3 linked regions of the Elephas maximus indicus genome follow. The protein of the gene in region 3 interacts with the protein of the main gene of each other region in a pairwise test. Links are inferred from orthologs where the notes say so. Each region holds a gene or a part of one and is shown on either strand. Other genes may lie near its edges.

Region 1 (7,627 bases), on a different chromosome or scaffold from region 3:
CAGAGTTAGGACTGAGTATTTTTTTAAAAAAGAGTTAAATGAGAGGCGTGGGTAGAATAGGCAACAGTGAGGGAAGCAGAGAGAGGAAAAATATATCAAAAAGTTGGCAAAACCCAAGGTCAGGAAAGGGTTGTAGCGAAAAAAGAATTTCTTTGCATTTGGAAGAGCAGGAAATTTGAATCTGAAGAGCAGTAATAGGAGCTTAGCAGGGTCTACGAAAAGGAGATTTGAACACTTCAAATGTTAGTAATTATTATCAAGGGTTAGCAAAGCACTAGTATGCCTTGCCATATTTACTTGAATCAACACATCAAAACTTTTAGGAACAACCAGATTAACTTTCCTCCATTTGACCTAAAATCATTTTTATAGCCTTGACACATATCATGTTTACGTAAATTACATATTCTGAAAGCCTGTGACTTCTTAGATCCAAGCCTAGTGTCTGAGCAGTACAGTATACTCAAATGTACTCAGGACCCCTTTGTACTCTGAAAAATTATTGAGGATTCCAAAGAGCTTTTGTTTACATGGCTTATATCTATCAATATTTATTGCATTAAAAATAAAAACTGAGAAATGTAATTTATTAATTTTATTATAATAGAATTATAATAAATCCATTACATATTCACATAAATAATATTAAAAAATAACTGTTTTCCAAAACAAAACCTCTTTAAGGACTGGCTTACTAGCATACTGATGGATTCTCCTATCTGCTTCTGCTTTCAATATATTGCAGTATGTTTGGTTGAAGTATAAGAAGAAAACCTAACCTTACACAGATATTTAGGTGGATAAGGGAAGAATATTTTAATAGCTTTTTCAGATAATTGTGGATATTCTTCTTTAATATTACACCCAAACTAGACAAATGGCAGTTTCATAAAGGTTAGTTGCAATGTGGAATCTGAAATGTTGTCCGTGTGTACTCTATTACATTAAAATTCATTGGTCTGTCTTGAACCTTGGGATCTTTTTTACCCATGCATGATTTTGTAACACCATGCATTGATCATTTAGAAAATATTGCTTCACTGTCTTGTACAGAGCTTCCAAATGTTGACACATCCCATTGTATAACAGCAAACAATCACATCTGTTAATATCACCATCAATATCATCAGCCATATCTTTAAGTATTGGGAAGTTCATGGTGGCAGACATGTTTTCCAAAATTCTGTCACTTGAAAGCTTGAATTTTATCATGGACGACACATACTGTCAGGTGTTTTTCTTGAAGCGACAGGCTCACCTCACTGATTTTTGAGAAAATGTCTGCTAAATACCCAAGTTGTAATAAACATACTTTGCCTGAGTCATTATGTCACGTAAAAATAAAACCTGTTGCTGTCTATTTGATTCCGACTCATAGCGACCCTATAGGACAGAGTAGAACTGCCCCACAGAGTTTCCAAGGACGCGTGGTGGATTTGAACTGCCGACCTTCTGGTTAACAGCTGTAACTCTTAACCACTACGGTACCAGGGTTTCCAAGTAAAAACAGTGTTTCATAAAAAAAAAAAATGGCTAGTTCAGCTCGTAACTCAGCAAATTGCCCAAGTGTCTTACCTTGTACTTTGTTACAATGCAGACATTCTGTACGTATACTTCCCATTTTGTTGCACAGAATATTAAGAAGATATTTACTCAAATGTTGAGATTTAATAACATTTACTGCTTCCCCAAAGACATTCTAAAGTGAAACTGGCTTTTTTTTTTTTTTAACCATGGGTATGTGACATTGAAGAATTACCACTAATATAGAAATTTTACAGCTGTTTTGCCCACCACTGCTTTTGCATCATCACTGCACATGTCAGTACAGTGAAAAGGCAAATAATGTTTTAGTACAGTTTTGACAATAGTTTTGGCATGGCAGACCCCCTGAAAACATCTCAGGGACCCTCAGGGGTCTGCAGACTTTGAGATTAATTTTATTTCCCCCACCCCCACTAGAATGTAAATTTCACAAAGGCAGGGTTTTTCTTTTTTTCTTGTTCACAGATATTTCTTCAGGGTCTAGATCACACCTGGCACATAGGAGACACTCACTAAATTTTTGTTTAATTAATTAATTAGTAAATGAAGTAATCAATCAGACCTAGGTAGTAGTAAAAAGCTTATGATCTGTATTACTGGAAACACTTTTTTAAAAAGTTACTTCATTGAATAGGTAAAATATACAACAGTGCACATGGTGAAAAGTCTCCTACCTTGTCTTCTCCAAGGTGCTTAAATTCCTTTCTCGGAGATAACCACTGTTGTCAGTTTTTTACGTATCTTTCCATCAATACTGTATGGATTCACGAACATCAAATACACAAGTTATTCCTTTCCCCTCTCACACATAAGATGGCGTACTATACACAATATGGACTTCCCGGTGCCTCTTTTAAACATAAATTTTTTATTTAGTAATAATTTTAGATTTACTGAAAAGTTTTAAAGAAGTGTACAGAGATTCCTGTATACATTTTACCCAGCTTCCTCTAATGTTAACATGGTACACAACAATGGTACCATGTCAAAACTAAGAAATCAACATTGGAACAATACTATTAACTAAATTATAGACTTTATTCAGCTTTCACCAGTTTTTCCATTAATTTTTTTTGGTTCTAGGATCCAATCCAGGATATCTCATTGCATTTGGCACGGTGCTTTTTTCACTTAAAATGTATCTTGAATATTGTCTCATATTAGTTAATATGTAGCTGCCTCATTCTCTGGAAGGACTGTAAAATGAATCCCTAGAAGTGGAACTGCAGAGTCAATGATTATGTGCATTTAAAAATTACTAAGTTCCCTTCCCCCAAGGAAATTACTATACCCTTCTAACTGGTTTCTCTGTGATTTGAATATACCAAGTTTCTTTGAAGTTCCAACATTGGGATTGGCAACTGAATGAGGGATATAAAAGTAAAGTATTCAAAATTTTTGCACACTTCAAAGTGATATTTTTTAGTTCTGGCACAAACACACATAGCACTGCATGATTTACGTTATTATTGTACTGTGACCCACTTATATATTTGGTTTCTTTCAAGACCACTAGGGGGCTCTGCTGGAAGAGTTTTGTAATTTATGCCAGTCCACCTAGGAAAATGATGTCCTGAGATGATGTTTTGAACACTTATTTTACTTGAAAGAGATCATCTTAATCCACCTTCCATGTTTTGCAGATGAGGAAAACGAGGTTGACCATGATCTTACAGCCAGGCATGAGGAGAGCTGGAATAAAACAACCTCCTCTTGGTTCCTGGGGCAGGAATTCAAGAAATTCCCTTAACACCTTAACTAAATGATTCACCTCTAGTCGTGATTTCTTTTTCTGCTCCCACATTTTTAATAACTTTTGCAATATTTTCATAACAGGGTACTTTACTAATTGGTTAGGTGAAGGAAGTGCATGAAATATAAACTTTTAAATAACACCTTTTATCACTTATTCCAAAATGTCATATTCAAAATACCTCTCAGCATCAAAAGTATATTATTAACTATAATCCCTAGCAACCCCTTTTAAATTGCCTTTCGAACTTCCTTTCCACTAAAAACATTTTACTGTTATCTTTATTCATTCATTCAGTCAATATTTATTGAGTGCCAATTAATGCCAGATCAGTTGCAGGCTTTAGGCTTATAGAAGTAAAAGCCCTCCTTTCCATCCCTTCAGGAGCTATTATTTCTCCAATTTCCACTTTATTTTTGGCATGCCTTAGTTCAGTGATTCTCAGTTTGGTCCCTGAACCAGCAGCATCAACATCATCTGGGAGTTTTTTAAAAATGCAAATTATCAGGCTCGCCCTGTACTCCAGGGACGAGGGCCAGCGATCTGTGTTTTAACGATCTCTCCAAGCTCCAAGGGATTTTGACGCATGCTTAAGTTTGAAAACCATCTTTTCAGTTCCACAGCTCGGTATTAATTATCTAAATAGATCAAAGATCAGTATCTGTTGATGTATTTTCTGCTGTGTATATTCTCAACAACAACAAAAAGTAAAATAAGTAAAAAAAAAAAAAAAATCGACATCTGACGTCTAAGCTTACCTCAGGCCTCTCCATGGAGTATCCGTCTCAAATACACCTAATGGAACCAGCAAGGACGATACTTAAAGCAATGATTTCTAGTTCCGATGGGAATATTAGAGGCACTTTATGGTGTCCCTGTTTTCAGAACAACAACGGACCGCAGTGCATTTTCTGGGGCCTTACCAACTGAAAATGGGCCGGACTGAATTCTAGGATAGTGTTTTCGTACACTAGACATAGTCGGGCACAGTAAGCCTGTGGGTTGGGGCTCTAGTCTGGGTCAGGCTGAGTAAGGGCGTGGGTCCAGGTCGAGTAGAGAGAACCGCGTGGGTCCTGCCGGGTTGGGTTCGAGCCTTCGGCCAGAGGCCAGGAACTGAAAGCCACGACCACACCATTCTGATTCGCAGCGCGGCGGAGTCGCAGGGACTCGGAAAAGCCGAGTGTGCGTCAGGCAGCGCGGAAACCGCACCCGCCCGGCCCAGACTCCGACGGGGCGGAGTCAGGCGACCGCAGCTCCAGCGGAGAGACGCGCGGCGCCGCGGCTGAGGCTACACCCGGAGCGGCTGCGCCGCCCGGCCGGGTCAGCATCGTGCGCATGCGCGGACCCGGCGCCATTTTGGTGGCCGGGCGCGGAGGTGATTCCACACTGAGGAGAGCGCGGCGGCTGAGGTGGCAGTGGCAGCGTTCCTGTGCTCGGGTCTGAATCGCCGGAGGAGGAGGCAGTGGAGGAAGAGGTGGCGGCGGTGGCGTTGGTCGTAGCGGTGGCGGAGGAGGCGGGTACGAATCAGCTGCGGGCGGAGACATGGCCAACATCGCGGTGCAGCGAATCAAGCGGGAGTTCAAGGAAGTGCTGAAGAGCGAGGAGGTCAGAAATGAACTCCCGGCCATCCCCCACCTCAGCCCAGGGTGGGAGGGCCCTTCCAGCGGCCACCCCGATATCCCCTGTAACCCCTGGGTGGCCCGCCCCGCGGCCGCCCTACTGCCTGTGGGGAAGCAGTAGCTTTCCCCTCCTTCCGCCGCCTTCCTCTCCCCTCTCAGGGCCCAAGGATGGACGGTCTTCCCTGCGGGAGGTCTGGGGACGAACACGTTTTGGGGAGCAGGTTAGAGAAGAGGTGCGCTTCTCAGAGGGGTGTGAGCCGTGGAGAGACCCCCGAGGCGGTAGCAGCAGCTGGAAGTGTGGCTGCGGGTGGGGAGGGTGCAGGCCGAGCCTGAGAAAACCCGGGAAGTGGCATGGGGGAAGGGAAAAGGTGGTAACTGGATCCGAGGGAGCTGTGCTGCTCGTAGGCCCACACTTTTAAGGGTATTCTGGGTTATCGCCTGTCAGGCCTTCAGCGCCCTTTCCTTAGGGAAGGAGCGATGAGAGCTCCTAGGTATTGATGAAAGGAGAAAGACAGGCATTCAGAGTTACTCCCTCTTAGTTGGGTGTTCGAAGAGAAGGGGAGATACAATGACATTATTTAAGTAGGGAATATAAGGGAATTTCACCTGAGATAGGAAATTAACTCCAAATTATATCACCTCACTTAGACCCCCAATTTCTGGACCCTTTATTTATTGGCATCTAAAGGTTTCTGACTGGGTAAATGCCAGTTGTTTGGTGTATTAAAGGTATTTAAATATTTTTAGCCAGGAACAAATAGTAGGGGGTATGAACAGCTTATTTCAAAATATTGTTTACAAGTTACAGGTCAGTCTCTTCTAAGACAATGCTGTCTGTTGACTCTGTTGTGTTGTACCATGAAACTTCATTATGATGTCCCTCATAGTTAACCTGAATCTTACTTTTGAAAAATAGCCCTATTAAAAACATGAGATTTCAAAAACAGGAACAAAACAAGAAAACCCATGAGATTTCATCAGATTAATATGTTGTTGTATCTCTTTATTAAGGTGAGTAGAAGGTTTATCCTGACATGTATCTAAAGTGATTAAAAAATAATTTATCTCAAGCTGTGCTTGAGACCTATGGAGTTTTAGATACTTTCATGCTGCACACAATTATTTATATAAGAGATTGAAAACATTATAGTAATTTGACTCAAAACTATGCCAGTATCAGTTTTTCATACCAAATTAACAAGAATAGCAAGTTGTTTTCCCCACGTGGATTTAACAGAGGAAGATCAAAAAGTAATACTGAAAATGATTTTTTTCTTAATGTCACATCCCATTGTTGAGTATATTGTTGCTGTTTGTTTTTTTTTCTCTCATTGTCTTATGTTCGTACTTTGATAATGTCAACAACGATTTGTGAAATTCAGCATTCTAAGTATGTGATGAGTAATTGACTTAAGTCTGATATCACCTGGGATTTCTTTGTGTTTACTGGGTCTGTGATAAAAAAAAAAATAGTCATGTATTTTTCCAGGTACACATGGAGAAAATTATTTAAAATTATTCAAAAATGACAAATGCCAGCAGATTTAATGAACGTAGGTAGTATATATTTTTTTAGTACATAAGTAATGATCTGCCTTAAAGAGCATGTGTGTGAACTCTAACCCCTATATTTGTTCAAGTGCCAAAACTCTGAATGGAAGGATGACTTTGTATTTTTATGGTACAGTTTGGAAATAGAGTCATAAATGTCTACTGATACACAGTGAAACAATGATTCTGACTTTTTATTTTATAAAATGTATTCCAGAATAGTTGACATACATTAATGAAAAATTGCAGCTAATATTGTTGCCAGCAGCCTAAAACGTACTTTTTTATAAGATTGTACAAATTTGAAGCTTCTAATGCCTTATTTTCCATTACATAAAAGTGGTAAGGTTTACTGCTCTAGTAATTCATGTTGGTTGGTCACTTTGTATGAGGTGACTTTTCACCATGATATTCTTAGTACTTAGGTTGCCAGAAATACTTGTATTGCTCTACTAATGCATACTTTTAAAATAGTACTTCTCTTTTATATGTAAGGGATGATGAAGCCTTGCTTCAAATAAGTGTCATAGTGTTTCAGAGGAAGAAAACAGGAAATGCAGACAGACAAAGGAGTTTTTTTTTTTTTTTGAGAATAGTACCCTTGCAAATCTGAAAGGATACTTCTTCCAGGAAAGTTAGTTGCAAAGAACATTTAGGGAAGGGTCAGAAGATTTAATCTTGTAATAAATATAACCAATAAATAGCTTTATTTTTACTGGCATTTTTATGTTGATTATTATCAACTCGTCAAAGGACTTGTATAATCCATGTATTACTTCCTTTTTACTTTGTGAGTCAATGTAGTATTTTCAGTAGCTGGTGAAGTAGTCAAGTATTTATCAAGTCATTTTATGCAGATCTGCAGTTTACCAAAGTTTATTTCATGTGCTCGTTTACTAAGAGTATTGGTTAATATAAGATTTTTTTTGGAGGGGAGGCTTTTAAGTGACTTTAAAGATAATTGATGTTTGCTGAATTCTGGTCATAAGAGGTTATAAACAGCTATTCTTAGAGTGTGTTTTTAGTTTAAATACAACCTCAAAGATAAACCTAAAAAGCAAGATGCAGAATAGTGTGTAGGAGGCCACCATTTATGTCAAAAGGGAGAAATATGTGTATTTGCTTATACAAGTGAAAGAATTCATGAGAAATTGGTAAC
Region 2 (6,824 bases), on a different chromosome or scaffold from region 3:
CTGATCCAGCCTGGGTCTGGGGCCAGGTTTCCCCCAGATGGGTAGTGGGGAGCAGCCCCCTGCGACTCCTTACTGCTTGTCAGCATGCTCCATGGCAGCTCGGATCCCCTTGGGAACACTGATCACACCCTGCACGAGATGCTGGCCCAGGAGCTCCTCGGTGGCAGCCGCCATGCCCAGCACAGCCTTGCCAAAGCCCACGAGGTAGAGGTTGTGCCGCAGCTGAAAGCTCCGGTCCCGCACCTTCAACTGCCTGCCGGTAGGGTCCAAGGTCAGGACCCGGTGTAGCATGGGGCCCGGCAGTACAGCACCAACAGCACTCTCAAACAGTTGCTGCGCCTGCTCCGGTAGGGCCATGCCGCTGGCCAGCCGGGCCACTGGGCCCCACCAGGGGAGTGGGCACAAGGGGGCTCGGGCCAGGCGGGGTATGACCTGCAGGGTTGCAGCCATGCCCCACTGCTCTCAGCACCGCCTGGCGCCCATAGCTGCCTAAGGGGAAGAAAAGACCAGTCAGGGCTGTTGCAGGACCAGAGACAGGAGGCCCCCCCACACCCACTCTCTGAAGGCTCAGGACTGGTGGACCCCATAGCTGCTGCTGCAGGCATAGGCCATCTGCCAGCCCAAGGAGACTTCCTGAAGCCCATAGCTGCCTGATCTCACTCTGGGCCTCAGAGCCCAGCCCTGCCACCCAGCCATGTCCTCCTCTTCTGTAGACCACATGCTCCCCTCTGGGAGCTCTGCCCGAGTCCGAAGGTCCTGTTAGCTGAGCCCTCTTCCTGGGTTGGCCCTGTGGCTGAGTTAATCATCCACAGATTCCTGTCTGTGGGCTCCTGTCTCGCCCCTTTCCCACCCCCTGCCCTTCTGAGCCCTCACTCAGCAATACCCCTTTCTGGCACTGCTGCCGGAAAGCTACTGGTTGTCCCCCCAACTGATCTTAGGCCCAGTGACCTCTAGCCTGCTGTATTTCATTAGCTCAGGGGACTGGGTTGGGGTTCCTGGGAAGGCTGGGTATCTGTGGGGAGGCTGCAGGCTCACCAGGGCACCACCAGGCCAGGTCAGGCCCAAATTACACCCTCAGAGTGTGCGGCCTTAGGAATCCCAGCACTCAGGGCCAGTCCAGCAAGAGTTCCAGCTCAAATCAGGAATGACAGCAAAATCTGGCTCAGGGTGGAACCTTACGAAGTCCCAAGGCACCACGAGAAACCATGCCATGCAGGATAGGGAAGGACGCCCTTTTACCCACATAGCTGGCCAGACCCACCCCTGCCAAGAACATCCCCTTTGGCTCTGAAATAACAAAACAAGTCCTGGGTCACACCACCCACTACCGTAAGGGCCCAGTGGCTGGAGCCAGCAAAGGCCAGACTACCACATTTGAGCCCAGACAGCCATTTTCCCCACTGGGCAGGGGAAAAGCTAAAGAAGCCCTAAGGTGAAGGTCAGGAGACTGCAGAAGGGTTTAGGGACAATGAACCCCCAAAGAGCTCATCCGTAAAAAGGCATCTACTTTAATAAATGCCTCCCATAAATGCTGCATACTGACTGTATCAGCAAGTGTGGACTGAGCAGGGGAAGGAGGCTGGGGTCAGGATTCCAGCTCTACCACAGCTGTCCTGAGTGGCTGAGCCTCACCTGCAAAACGAGAGGTAGGATGAGATTAAGACTACTTACTGTGCTCCTCTCCCCCTGACAGCCTAGGGCTCTGCACAGAAAATCTGGAACCCAAACGTCAGTTCATCTCACACCCAAGTAACCTGGCAGCGTCCGGCCCTGGGCCACTTAGGCTGCATGGTCTTCAGCCTTCTCTGTGAAAGGGAACAGAAGGCATGGCCATGGGAGTGCTAAAAATGGGATCCAGCTTTTGCTGGGGGACCACTGGGGCTCGCCCATTATACATGGTACTAAAGCAGTTTTAATATCTAGCAACACTTGGTTTTGAGGGAGTGGGCAAGTTTCCAGCCTTGCTACTACCAGAGCAAAGTATCCAGTAACAAGGTGGGGGGTGGGGTGGGGGTCGGGACTAAGGCCTAGGGTTGCCAAATAAAACACAGGACGCCAAGTTAAATGTGAATTTCAAATAAATGAGTTATTTTTTTACAGTAAAAAAAAAAAAACGAGTAATTTCTTAGTGTAAGTTTATAAGCTGGTTCCTGGGTGGCACAGTTTGCACTTGACTACTGACCTAAAGGTTGACAGTTCAAATGCACCCTGCGGTGCTGTGGGAGAAAGGCCTAGCTATCTGGTTCCTTAAAAATTACAAGAAAACCCTGTGGAGCAGTTCTGCTCTATAAACACATGAAGTCGTCATGAGTCACAACAGACTCCATCCACTGCAATGGGTTTGGTTTTTTGGTTATGTTGTCCCATGCAATAACTGGGACATCCCATTATCCCACTGCTGTCGAGTCGATTCCGACTCATAGCGACCCTATAGGACAGAATAGAACTGCCCTATAGAGTTTCCAAGGAGCACCTGGTGGATTTGAACTGATCGCTGACCTTTTGGTTAGCAGCCATAGCTCTTAACCGCTACGCCACCAGGGTTTCCAACTGGGACATAGTTACACTAAAATTACTCGTTGCTCATATTAAATTCAAATTTAACTAGACGTCCTGTATTTTTATTTGCTAAATCTGTCGATCCAGTGCCCTATACGGTCTTTCCTAAACTCCTGGACTCTCCATCACGAAACCCTGAAATGAGAAAACCCGCCTTGACTCCTCCCGGCCACTAGGTGGGGCTGGCCGGCCTGCACCTGCCCGAATCCGCCCCCCGGAAGTGACGTCACCCACGAGCTGAGAGCGCCGACCTCCGAGGGAAATGGTTGTGGGGAACGGTCGGTGATGACCCGAAGGATAACGGCCCACTGCCACCCCGACCAGGCGTCGCCCTGACGAGGGCGCGCTTCCGGGAGCCACGCGGGCCCTCGCGACGCGGACTCACCGCCCCACGGCTCCACGCCGCGTCACCTAACGCAGGAACCGGAAGTACCCGTGGGCGGACGGAGCGGAACCCGGAAGTGAGGGTATGAAGGCGGGTTGGGGCGTTGCCAGTGTGCGCTTCGACCCGACTGGGCGCCAGGAAGTCAGAAAACGTTCGGGGTTGTGTACCTGAGTCGGCGCTGCCACGCCAGGCCCTGCACTTGGGTCCTGATGGAGCAGACTCAGGAGCGGGAGTTGGGGCATCTCCGCCCCAGACCCGCTGTAAGACCTGGGTGGTGTCACCTTCAGGCCTCGGTTTCTCCATTTCTGTTGTCGTTGGGCGCGGTTGGGTTGATTTCATAGCGACTTCACGTGACAGAGCCGAACTACCACCACAGGGTTTTCTAGGAGCAGATCGCCGGATCTTTTCGCCCACAGATCTGCTGGGTGGGTTCAAACCGCTAACCTTTTGGTTAGCAGCCCAGTGCTTAACCTTGCGCCACCAGGGCTCCTTTCTTCATCTTTACGATGGGAGTAATAACTCCCACCTCCCCAAATTGCTATAATCTGTCCCCTGCTTTATCCTGTACAATCCAATCAGTCAGTAAATACGTCCTGAGCTCCTGTTAGGTGCCAGGCACTGGGCTGAGCAAACGGACTGAGGATCACACCCCTTCTTGCAAAGTCATCGCTGCCCTTCCCTACCGTTATAATCCTACAACTCATTGCTACCCCCACGGGCCATCACAGACAGCTCTGTCTCAGCAAGAGAGTTCTGTTACTTGATCCTCGAACCTACCGCAAACTCTGTGAACACGAATGAGCTTGGGCCCCCCTAGCTGTCCTTGCTTTCCCCCTGTGTCCGCCCTGAGCCGGGCTTTATGCCTTCCCATAGTCAAAAGACAAGTCCCTACCAGACTCCAGAAACACAGATGAGTACACTGTATGTTTTTACTGACTTTTCTTGGAGAGGTGGAGGAGGGAGTTACACAACAGACTTCCTGAAAATCTCCTTGAAACGTCTTTCTCCTCATCCTGCTTCTGTCCACAGCTGCCACATCTCATAGGTCTCCAAACCATGCCCTTGTCATGAACTTGCTCTCTGAGTTTTTCTTTCCCTACCAGTCTCTCCCAAATGCCTTCCCTCCTCAGCAAAACAAAGGCACCTTCAGGAGGATCTACCAACCTTTTTTAGAGATGGAGGAGATTATAGCTATTTGAAATTTCATGGTTTTTCCTTGCTTATAACAATCTGTCGTCATCCATCCAATTGTTAATTCTTCCATCATTCAAAAGACATTTCTTGGGTGGCTTCTATGTGGGCCAAATGCAGTAGATGCTGGGATGAATAAGAACTGGTACATTTACTTGGGAAATTTTGCTTTTGTGATTACATACCCACACTGCTGGTGGGAGTGGAGATAGTGAGCACCTCTCTCAGTATTTAGTGCCAGAAACGTTCATAAACAAATAGCATCTACTGTGCCAGTGCTATTTTCTCAGACTATAAACAGGATACTAATTGCACCCATTTTTTATTCTGCCACCCCCATCCCCACAGCTACTCACAAGATGCCTTTGACAACAGCAAGATTTAAATGACCACTGGACTGTGAGCTCCTGGAAGGGGGTGAATTGGTCTAATTTGTATTTGTATTTCTATTGCCCTGCACATGATCAGACAAAAATAGAACCTGGATTGTTTTTCTTTTTTTGTAATTAACAGGAGGGCAGCAAAGTGCTCAGCTGAAAAGTACTGTAGACCCTGCTGCTAGGTAGAAAGTATTTCACAGAAGAAAAAGAGATGGGGGTAGGTGGAAGCAGAGGGCATCATGAAGCAGTGGAATTTAGACCTGAGGCAACGATTTGGCTTACCAGAATGCTTACACATTATCTTGATAATGGACATGATACCTCATGGGGATTTTATTTTAAAATAAGTAGAGAAATGCTCAGGTTTGTCAGGCATAAACTTACTTATGAGATAGCACACACGTAAGACCCCAAGACACTAGTTTGTTATTGTTGTTGTTAGGTGCAATCAAGTCGGTTGCAACTCATAGCAACCCCACGTACAATAGAACGAAACACTGCCCAGTCCTGCACCATCCTAGCAGTCGTTGTTATGCTTGAGCTCATTGTTGCAGCCACTGTGTCAATGCATTTTGTGGAGAGTCTCCCTCTCTTTTGCTGACCCTCTGCCAAGCATGATGTCCTTCTCCAAGGGCTCTCCTGATAACATGTCCAAATACATGAGATGAAGTCTCGCTATCCTTGCTTCTAAGGAGCGTTCTGGTTGTACTTCTAAGAAAGATTTGTTTGTTTTTCTGTCAGTACATGGCATATTCAATACTCTTCAACAATATCATAATTAAAAGGCATCAATTCTTCCTCTGTCTTCCTTATTTATCCTTCAGCTTTTCATACGCATATGAGGCGATCGAAAATACCATTGCTTGGGTCAGCCAAGCCTTAGTCCTCAAAGTGACATCTTTGCTTTTTAACATTTTAAAGAGACGTTTGGCAGCCAAAAAAACAAAACCAAACCCGTTGCTGTCGAGTCGATTCCAACTCATAGCGACCCTATAGGACAGAATAGAACTGCCCCATAGAGTTTCCAAGGAGTGCCTGATGGATTCAAACTGCTGACCTTTTGGTTAGCAATCATAGCTCTTAACCACTACACCACCAGGGATTCCCTCTTTGGCAGCAGATTTGCCCAGTGCAATATGTCCTTTGATTTCTTGACTGCGGCTTCCGTGGCCATTGATCATGGATCCAAGTAAAATGAAATCCTTGACGGCTTCAATATTTTCTCTGTTTAGCATGGCGTTGCTTATTGTTCCAGTTGTGAGGATATTTGTTTTATTTATGTTGAGGCGTAATCCATACTGAAGGCTATAGTCTTTGATCTTCATCAGTAAGTGCTTCAAGTCCCCTTCACTTTTGGCAAGCAAGGTTGGGTCATCTGCATATTGCAGGTTGTTAATGAGTCTTCTTCCAATCCTGATACCAAGTTCTTTTTTATGTAGTCCAGCCTCTCAGATTATTTGCTCAACATACAGATTGAATAAGTATGGTGAAAGGATACAACCCTGATGCACACTTTTTCTGATTTTAAACCACGCAGTATCCCTTCGTTCTGTCTGAAAGACTGCCTCTTGGTCTATGTACAGGTTCTTCATGAGCACAATTAAGTACGTGGCGTGGAATTCTCATTCTTTACAATGTTATCCATAATTGTTATGATCCACACATTCAAATGCCTTTGCATAGTCAATAAAACACAGGTAAACATCTTTCTGGTATTCTCTGCTTTCAGCAAGATCCATCTGACATCAGCAGTGATGTTCCTCATTCCACTTCCTCTTCTGAACCTGGCTTGAATTTCTGGTAGTTCTCTTTCAAGGTACTGCTGCAACTGCTTTTGAATTATATTCAGCAAAATTTTACTTGCTTGTGATATTAATGATTAAAATTGTTTGATAATTTCCACATTCTGTTGGATCACCTTTCTTTGGAATGGGCACAAATATGGATCTCTTCAGTCAGTTGGCCAGGTAGCTGTCTTAAAAATTTCTTGGCATAGATGAGTGAGCACCTCCAGCATTGCATCCATTTGTTGAAACTTCTCAATTGGTATTCCATCAATTCCTGAAGGCTTATTTTTCACCAATGCAGCTTGTACCCTTCCTTCCTTACCATTGGTTCTTGATCATATGCTACTTCCTGAAATGGCTGAATGTTGACCAGTTCTTTTTGGAGCAGTGACTCTGTGTATTCCTTCCGTCCTCTTTTGATGCTTCCTGCATTGTCCAATATTTTGCCCACAGAGTTCTGCAGTATTGCAACTGAAGGCTTGAATTTTTTCTTCAGTTCTTTCAGCTTGAGAAATGCCCAGC
Region 3 (7,415 bases):
TGCCCAGCAGTTTTCAAACAACTGGATTACATTTTAAAATAACATATTTTAAATAGTCCTATTTTAATCTAACTCGTGAGAAAATGTTAAAAAAAAAAAAAAAAGTAAGATAATCACTTTTCAACTTCCAAACCTCCAAAACTTTAAAAGTTTCCTCCCTCCAGTTTAGGGAATTCTTAGTCCTCATAACAGCAGAAGATATAATGTCATTAAACAAATTTAAATTCCATCACATTTTAAAATCATGTGGGTCTTAGAATGCTACTCTATAGAGAATTAATTTTTTTCTCTTGCAAGAGTTAGATCACAATATATTCATGCAGTAAATTAGTAAAGTTTGATTAAATCGACATCAGGCTGACCTTTTCCTTGTAATGCTTGTCATTCTTCACCACTTCCATAAAACATCTTTCTGATAACCAATAAATTAACCAAATATTTCAAAGTCATCTTTGTGCTTTTAATCTAAATGTGCTTTGAGTTTATGAACTTAGAACATTAACTGAAAGTTCGGGGTCACTGAAATGGGTAAAGGGAAAGTGGAGAGTTTTAAACCATATTTGTGTTCTCACAAGAAAACCACAAAGACAAACTGAAATCAAACGTCACATGAAACACCCCTATTTCCTTTTCAGCTTAGAGTAGTGGCTGCAGCACTGTTCTGCTCAACCCTTTAAAAAGATCCTTTAAGTTTTCTACTTCCTCTTCTGTTAAGTATCAGCCTGGACTTAGGGTCACGGAGCAGGGGGTTGGGAGGCGGGGTCAAGCGTAAACCAACGGGTCTCCAGTCCCCTGGCCTTGCACTGCAGACGCCCTCGCCCACCCCACAGCACCCCCCCATCCCGTTCCTGCACGGCAGACGCCCTCGCCCACCCCACAGCACCCCCCCCATCCCGTTCCTGCACGGCAGACGCCCTCGCCCACCCCACAGCACCCCCCCCATCCCGTTGCTGCACGGCAGACGCCCTCGCCCACCCCACAGACCCCCGGGCCCCGTTCCTGCACGGCAGACGCCCTCGCCCACCCCACAGCACCCCCCCATCCCGTTGCTGCACGGCAGACGCCCTCGCCCACCCCACAGACCCCTGGGCCCCGTTCCTGCACGGCAGATGCCCTCGCCCACCCCACAGCCCCCCGGACCCAGTTCCTGCACGGCAGACGCCCTCGCCCACCCCGCAGCCCCCCGGACCCCGTTCCTGCACGGCAGATGCCCTCGCCCACCCCACAGCCCCCCGGGCCCTGTTCCTGCACGGCAGACGCCCTCGCCCACCCCGCAGCCCCCCGGGCCCCGTTCCTGCACGGCAGACGCCCTCGCCCACCCCACAGCCCCCCCGATCCCGTTCCTGCACGGCAGACGCCCTCGCCCACCCCACAGCACCCCGGACCCCGTTCCTGCACGGCAGACGCCCTCGCCCACCCCACAGCCCCCCGGACCCCGTTCCTGCACTGCAGACGCCCTCGCCCACCCCACAGCCCCCCGGACCCCGTTCCTATACTGCAGACGCCCTCGCCCACCCCACAGCCCCCCGGGCCCCGTTCCTGCACTGCAGACGCCCTCGCCCACCCCACAGCCCCCCGGGCCCCGTTCCTGCACTGCAGACGCCCTCGCCCACCCCACAGCCCCACAAAGCTACCGGCAGGCGTCCACTCCCGAGAGGTGAGCCCTGCAGAAGCTGCAGGAGCTGGTCTGTCTCCAGCCGTCGCTTAAGGGCTTGGGGTCCGAACCCCCTTCCCTCCTGCCCCAGGGGAAAGCCGACCGGGAGGGGGGCACCCGGCTTCGCCCTCGGATGTGCTCTCGGGGCGCCTTTCCGCCGCGACACGGGGGTCACCTGGGGTGGAGGCACCTGGGGTGGGGTCACCTGGGTGGCAGCTCCCGGCGACACGGGGGTCACCTGGGGGTGGGGTCACCTGAGGGGCAGCTCCCGGCGACATGGGGGTCACCTGGGGTGGGGTCATCTGGGGGTCAGGTCACCTGGAGGGCAGCTCCCGGCGACACGGGGGTCACCTGGTGACACGGGGTGGGGTCACCCGAGGGGCAGCTCCCGGCTACACGGGGATCACCTGGGGGTGGGGTCACCTGGAGGTGAGGTCACCTGGGGGGCAGCTCCCTGCAACACAGGGGTCACCTGGGGTGGGGTCACCATGGGGTGGGGTCACCAGAGGGGCAGCTCCCTGCGACACAGGGGTCACCTGGGGTGGGGTCACCATGGGGTGGGGTCACCATGGGGTGGGGTCACCATGGGGTGGGGTCACCTGGTGACATGGGGGTGGGGTCACCCGAGGGGCAGCTCCCGGCGACACGGGGTCACCCCGCTGCTGCTCTGAGGCAGGAGCCACCATTTCACCACGAATCCCCCCGAGAACCCCCGTCTCCCTTCCGACCACCGCCGCCCCGATCCCAACACCAAGCCGCCGGCAACTCCTAAGGTTCCAGCTGCAACAATGGGACCCAACTACCGAGCGAGCTTGTCACTTCGCACGCAAATCCTCAAGCAAGTCACTTTTCAAAGGGCGGACGGTTTGCCGGCTGACGCGATTTTAAAGACTGAACGCGCCGCGGCCAAAGCCCGGCAGACCGAGAGCCCCCGAAACCCGGGTAGCAGCCCCGGGGCGACCTTTGCCCCCGACCCTGCCGCGGGGACCTCGGCCCTCGCTCCCCCCCGGGAACACTCACCGGAGGCCATGGTTCCGCTCACCGCGCCGCCCCGCAGGCAGCTCCAAGCGTCCGGGCCGGACGGCGCCGCGGCCAGGGAGCGCGTCAGTCAGTCAGCCGGTCGCGGCCCTCTGCCGCCGGGACCCCAGTTTCCCTGGCCACTCCCGGGCCCTCCTCCTCCTTCCCGCCCTCCTCGGCTCTGCGGCTCACACCTTCCCACCTCCTTAGCTCTCGCGCTCCGGTCAGCCGGCGTCGCCCGTCCAGGGTGCCGGAGCGCGGTGGGAGCCGAGCGCCCGCCCGCGGAGAGGCAGGCAGCCCGGCGGGAGGGGGATTTCCCGCCGCTGACGTAGGCCGCTCGCCACCGCGTCCTCCGGGGGCGGGGGGCGGGGCCTCCGGCGGCCCGCGCGCGTCCGCACGCCCCTGCGCCCCGTGCGCGCGCCCGCCCCCGCGCATGCGCCCCCGAAGGGCTGCGGGCCGGGGGAGCCGGGAGCGCAGGATCCTGGGGAGCGCAGGGGACGCCGGGAGGCGGAGGGGCCGGCCGCGCGCCGAGGCCGCGGGCCGCCGAGAAATCCCCCTCCTCCGGGTTGTTCTGCCGAGCGTGGTTTAAAGTTCACAGGCGGGTGGGAGGGAGCGGTGACGTCGGGAGGCCGGCCTGCCGGGGCGCTCGGGGCGGGCCGGCGGCTCGGGGGAGGTGGGCCTGGGGTTTTCGATCGGTGCTTCCCCCTTTTCCCGCTTTCGTACATGCAAATGGCCGCCCCCGGCCGGCGGTGAGGCGGCGCGTCCTGAGGCGCCGCTGAGGGGTGCGGCCGCGGCCGGCGCCTCTGTTCTCCGTGCGGGATCTTCGTTTGCGTGGGGCTCCCCCGCAGTGTGGCTTCCCCCTCTGTCTTTAAGCTGCGAGGGCACCGAGTTGACTTTACGAGTTTTACCCACGAAAACCTTTCGAGTCAGAGTCCTGCGCCGCGATTTCGTGCTCTGGGGAGCAGTTGCCCCGTCGTTACGTGTGGAAGTTGAGCGAAAAACGAGTCGCCGTTGGGTGGACCCCATATCCTGGGATTTAACGGAGAGGCCCAGCAGGAAGGGGAGATGGAAAACCATTCGGAGTTGAAGGAATCCAGTATAGCTTTGTGTCCCGCATTTGCTGAGAGCCTCCTCCGGGCCAGATAGTTTATCTCACCTGTGAAGTAGTAGTATCCTGGTTTTAGAGATGAGGTGCGGGGTTCAGAGAGTTAAGTAACTTGTCCAAAGGCCAGAATGCTGCTAGAAGGAAAAAGAATTTATACCTAAGGTAGTCTGAATCCAAACCTTCATGTTCTTTCCACGCTCTCCCCCCCCTTTTTTTTTTTAATTTTAAATTGTGTTTTAGGTGAAAGTGTACAGTGCAGATTAGTTTTCATTCAAAAAATTTATACGCCAGTTGTTTGGTGATGTTAATTGCAGTCCCCACAATGTGTCAGTACTCCCCCTCTTTCCACTCTGGGCTCTCCATGTCCATTCATCCAGTGTTCTGTTCCTTCCTGCCTTCTCCTCTTTGCTTTTGGGTAGGTGTTGCCCGTTTGGTCTCTATACTTGACTGAACTAAGAAACACATTCCTCACATGTGTTATTTGTTTTATAGGCCTGAAAGGTGGACTTCAGGAGTGGCTTCAGTTCTGAGTTAGTCCTCTCTCTCTTATTGCCTCAAATGTATGGAGTTGGAATAGAGAGTATCAGCCTAGAGTAAGTGTTCTAAATGGGAGGACCCTATTTGGAAAATTAAAACCTGCCAACCCCAGTATCCTCCTACAAAATAGAGAAGACTGTAGCACTTTTACTACTGAGTAAATATTAAATCACACTGTGACATGCATCATAGGCAATCTGCTGAAGAGACTGCAAAGACAAAAAGGTTTCACCCTTCTGTATAGCCAGACAGATAAAATCCATTACATACCTGTTAATTGTCTTATCCTAAATATTAAATCACACTGTGACGTACATCATAGGCAATCTGCTAAAGAGACTGCAAAGACAAAAAAAAACTTCACCCTTCTATATAGCCAGACAAATACAATCCATTACATACCTGTTAATTGTCTTATCCAAAAGGGGGAAAAAAAAGCAAACAAAACTTTTTCTATCGTTTCAGCAATAGGGAGTTACATCTTGGAGCCAACCCCTTTGGCTTAAACTCCTACAGAGACAGGAAGACTTGGTGCTATCCTCCTTTATGTTCCTATTTCAAAGAAATGCCTTCAAGGCCACCAAGAAAGACCTTCTTTGGATCAGAACTGGCCAAGAGGATTAAAAGGATTCACGTATTTCTCAAAGAGTTAGAGAAAGCATTTACAAATCAAATTTTCTAAAGAAGAGGGGGGCGAGGGGAAGGTCTCTGTTTTTTTTGGCACCAGGGAAGTTTTTTAATTAAAAGTTTTTCTTAGATTTTATTTATCCTCATAATCCCAAATGTCAGAGCTGTAAGGGCAGACTGAGCACAGATGTTTAAGAATCGATTAGAAGGGTGAGAGACAGATAGGAATGGAAAATACTTTGTGTTTTTTCATATTCCACCTGCAGGAATTGATTGGTTTTAGGTGTTCCTTGAACTTAATGGTATTGTTGGTTCCATAGATTCAGTAGTGACGGAGAAATTGATGATGATTGAGAGAAAGGGGGTTAATTACTTGAATGAGGAAGAGAGACAAGATGAAATCCAGGGCACAGGTGAAGGGCCACCAATTGGAATGGAGACTTTTCTTCTGTGGGTAAAAGAAGGAAGACAGAGTGGGTGGTTACAGATGCACAGAGCCCAGTATACTTGGTGGTACCAAGACGGGGTACTCAGTCAGATTGCCTTAAAAAAAAAATGAAGTATAAGGTGAAGGGCAGAAACTGAAAACATGGTCTCTGAGAGTGAAGTTTTAGAAGGTATACCTGGCTGTATTGAATCCCCATTTGAGATTTGTGGTCATAAATATCAGACCAGTCAGTTGTTAGGTGCTGTTGAGTCGGTTCTGACTCTTAGCGACCCTGTGCACAACAGAAGGAAACACTCCCCGATCCTGAGCCATCCTTAAAATCGTTGTTATGCTTGAGCTTATTGTTACAGCCACTGTGTCAATCCACCTCATTGAGGGTCTTCCTCTTTTCTGCTTACTCTGTACTTTGCCAAGCATGATGTCCTCCTCCAGGGACTGATCCCTGCTGACAACACGCCCGAAGTATGGAAGACGCAGTCTCACCATTGTTCTAAAGAGCATTCTGGTTGTACTTCTTCCGAGACAGATTTGTTTGTTCTTGTGGCAGCCCATGGTATATTCAATATTCTTTGCCAACACCACAATTCAAAGGCATCAATTCTTTGGATTTCCTTATTCATTGTCCAGCTTTCACATGCATAGGAGGCAATTGAAAACACCATGGCTTGGGTCAGGCGCACCTTAGTGTTTAAGGTCACATTTTTGCTTTTGAACCCTTTAAAGAAGTCCTTTGCAGAAGACCAGTCAGTACAATATTTCTTACATAGCCCAAGGAATAGCAATGAGCAATACTGTCTTGAAAAAGAAGACAAAAAGGTAGGAAAAGTTAGGTTGGATGGGAGGGAATATGTATAATACCTAAGCGTCTGAACCCGCACCTGTTCCCTAGGTGATCTCATCCATTCTCCTGATTTTACCCATGGACCCAGGACCATATATCCAGCCTGAACCTCTCCTTGGGCTTCAAACCCTTATATCCAGTTGTCTGCTAGACACATTCACTAGAAGTCCCGTAGGCATCCCAGCCTCAGCCTACCCAACATCTTCTCTCCTAAAGCTGCTCTTCCTCTCGTGTTTTCTGGGCTCAGAAACATAGGCTAAAACTTTGGAGCCGTCTCTGCCTCCTTTCGTTCTCACCACCCTCTCACCTACCCCATGATTTTACCAGTCAAAGAGGAACCCGTTCGCTCTCACTACTGTCACTGCCCTTGTTCAAATCATTCCTACCCCCATGACATCCAGTCACCAAATCCTGCTGATTTTCCCAGTCAAATAGGAAGCCATTCCTGTTGTCTCGTGACTGCCACTGCCCTTGTTCAAATCATCATACCCCACCTGAACTATTAGAATACTCACCTATTAACGTCTGTCTACATTTTTGCCCCCCCCCACAAAACCATTCAGACCTATTGTTGCTTGAGTCATCTGTATGAGCGCACTTCTGACCATATCACTCTCGTGCTTTAAAACCATCAGCAGCATCCCGATCCAAATACCAACAGCTTGCTTTAATGAGATGGAAAAACTAGACATTAACTTTATATGGAGAGGAAAGAGGCCCTGGAGCAATAAAGCATTATTGAGGAGGAACTACAAAGTAGGAGGCCTCGTACTGCCTGACCTCAGAACCTACTATACAGCTGTGGTAGTCAAAATAGCCTGGTACTGGTACAATGACAGACACATTGACCAAAGAACAGAATTGAGAACCCAGATGTAAATCCATCTACCTATAGTCACCTGATCTTTCACAAAGGCCCAAAGTCCATTAAATGGGGGAAAAGACAGTCTTTTTAACAAATGTACTGGCAAAACTGGATGTCCATCTGTGAAAAAAAAAAATGAAACAGGACTCATATCTCACATCATACACAAAAGCTAATTCAAAATGGGCCAAAGACATAAAACCAAAAACTATGAAGATGATAAAAAGAAAAATAGGGTCAGTGCCAGGGGCCCTAATATACATCATAAATGGAATACAAACCATAACTGACAATATACAAACACTGGAAGATAAGCTAGGT

The links. The genes of interacting proteins can lie anywhere in the genome.
Region 1: the proteins of REL (region 3) and UBE2K interact in binary tests that used the Homo sapiens proteins (3 or more experiments, as listed by UniProt). The two-hybrid records come from large-scale screens. The link is inferred for Elephas maximus indicus from reciprocal best matches to the Homo sapiens genes REL and UBE2K.
Region 2: the proteins of REL (region 3) and GLYCTK interact in binary tests that used the Homo sapiens proteins (3 or more experiments, as listed by UniProt). The two-hybrid records come from large-scale screens. The link is inferred for Elephas maximus indicus from reciprocal best matches to the Homo sapiens genes REL and GLYCTK.

What each region holds. Positions count from the first base shown.
Region 1 is NC_064823.1:121,116,497-121,124,123, reverse strand, and holds the start of UBE2K (ubiquitin-conjugating enzyme E2 K), read left to right. Parts: upstream 1-4,623; 5' UTR 4,624-4,840; coding exon 4,841-4,903; intron 4,904-7,627. UniProt on the Homo sapiens protein: Accepts ubiquitin from the E1 complex and catalyzes its covalent attachment to other proteins. In vitro, in the presence or in the absence of BRCA1-BARD1 E3 ubiquitin-protein ligase complex, catalyzes the synthesis of 'Lys-48'-linked polyubiquitin chains.
Region 2 is NC_064838.1:56,510,767-56,517,590, reverse strand, and holds the start of GLYCTK (glycerate kinase), read right to left. Parts: upstream 3,005-6,824; 5' UTR 2,945-3,004; intron 1,806-2,944; 5' UTR 1,672-1,805; intron 1,215-1,671; exon of another isoform or gene 1,036-1,214; intron 490-1,035; 5' UTR 451-489; coding exon 74-450; intron 1-73.
Region 3 is NC_064844.1:1,354,750-1,362,164, forward strand, and holds the start of REL (proto-oncogene c-Rel), read right to left. Parts: upstream 3,023-7,415; 5' UTR 2,685-3,022; coding exon 2,675-2,684; intron 1-2,674. UniProt on the Homo sapiens protein: Proto-oncogene that may play a role in differentiation and lymphopoiesis.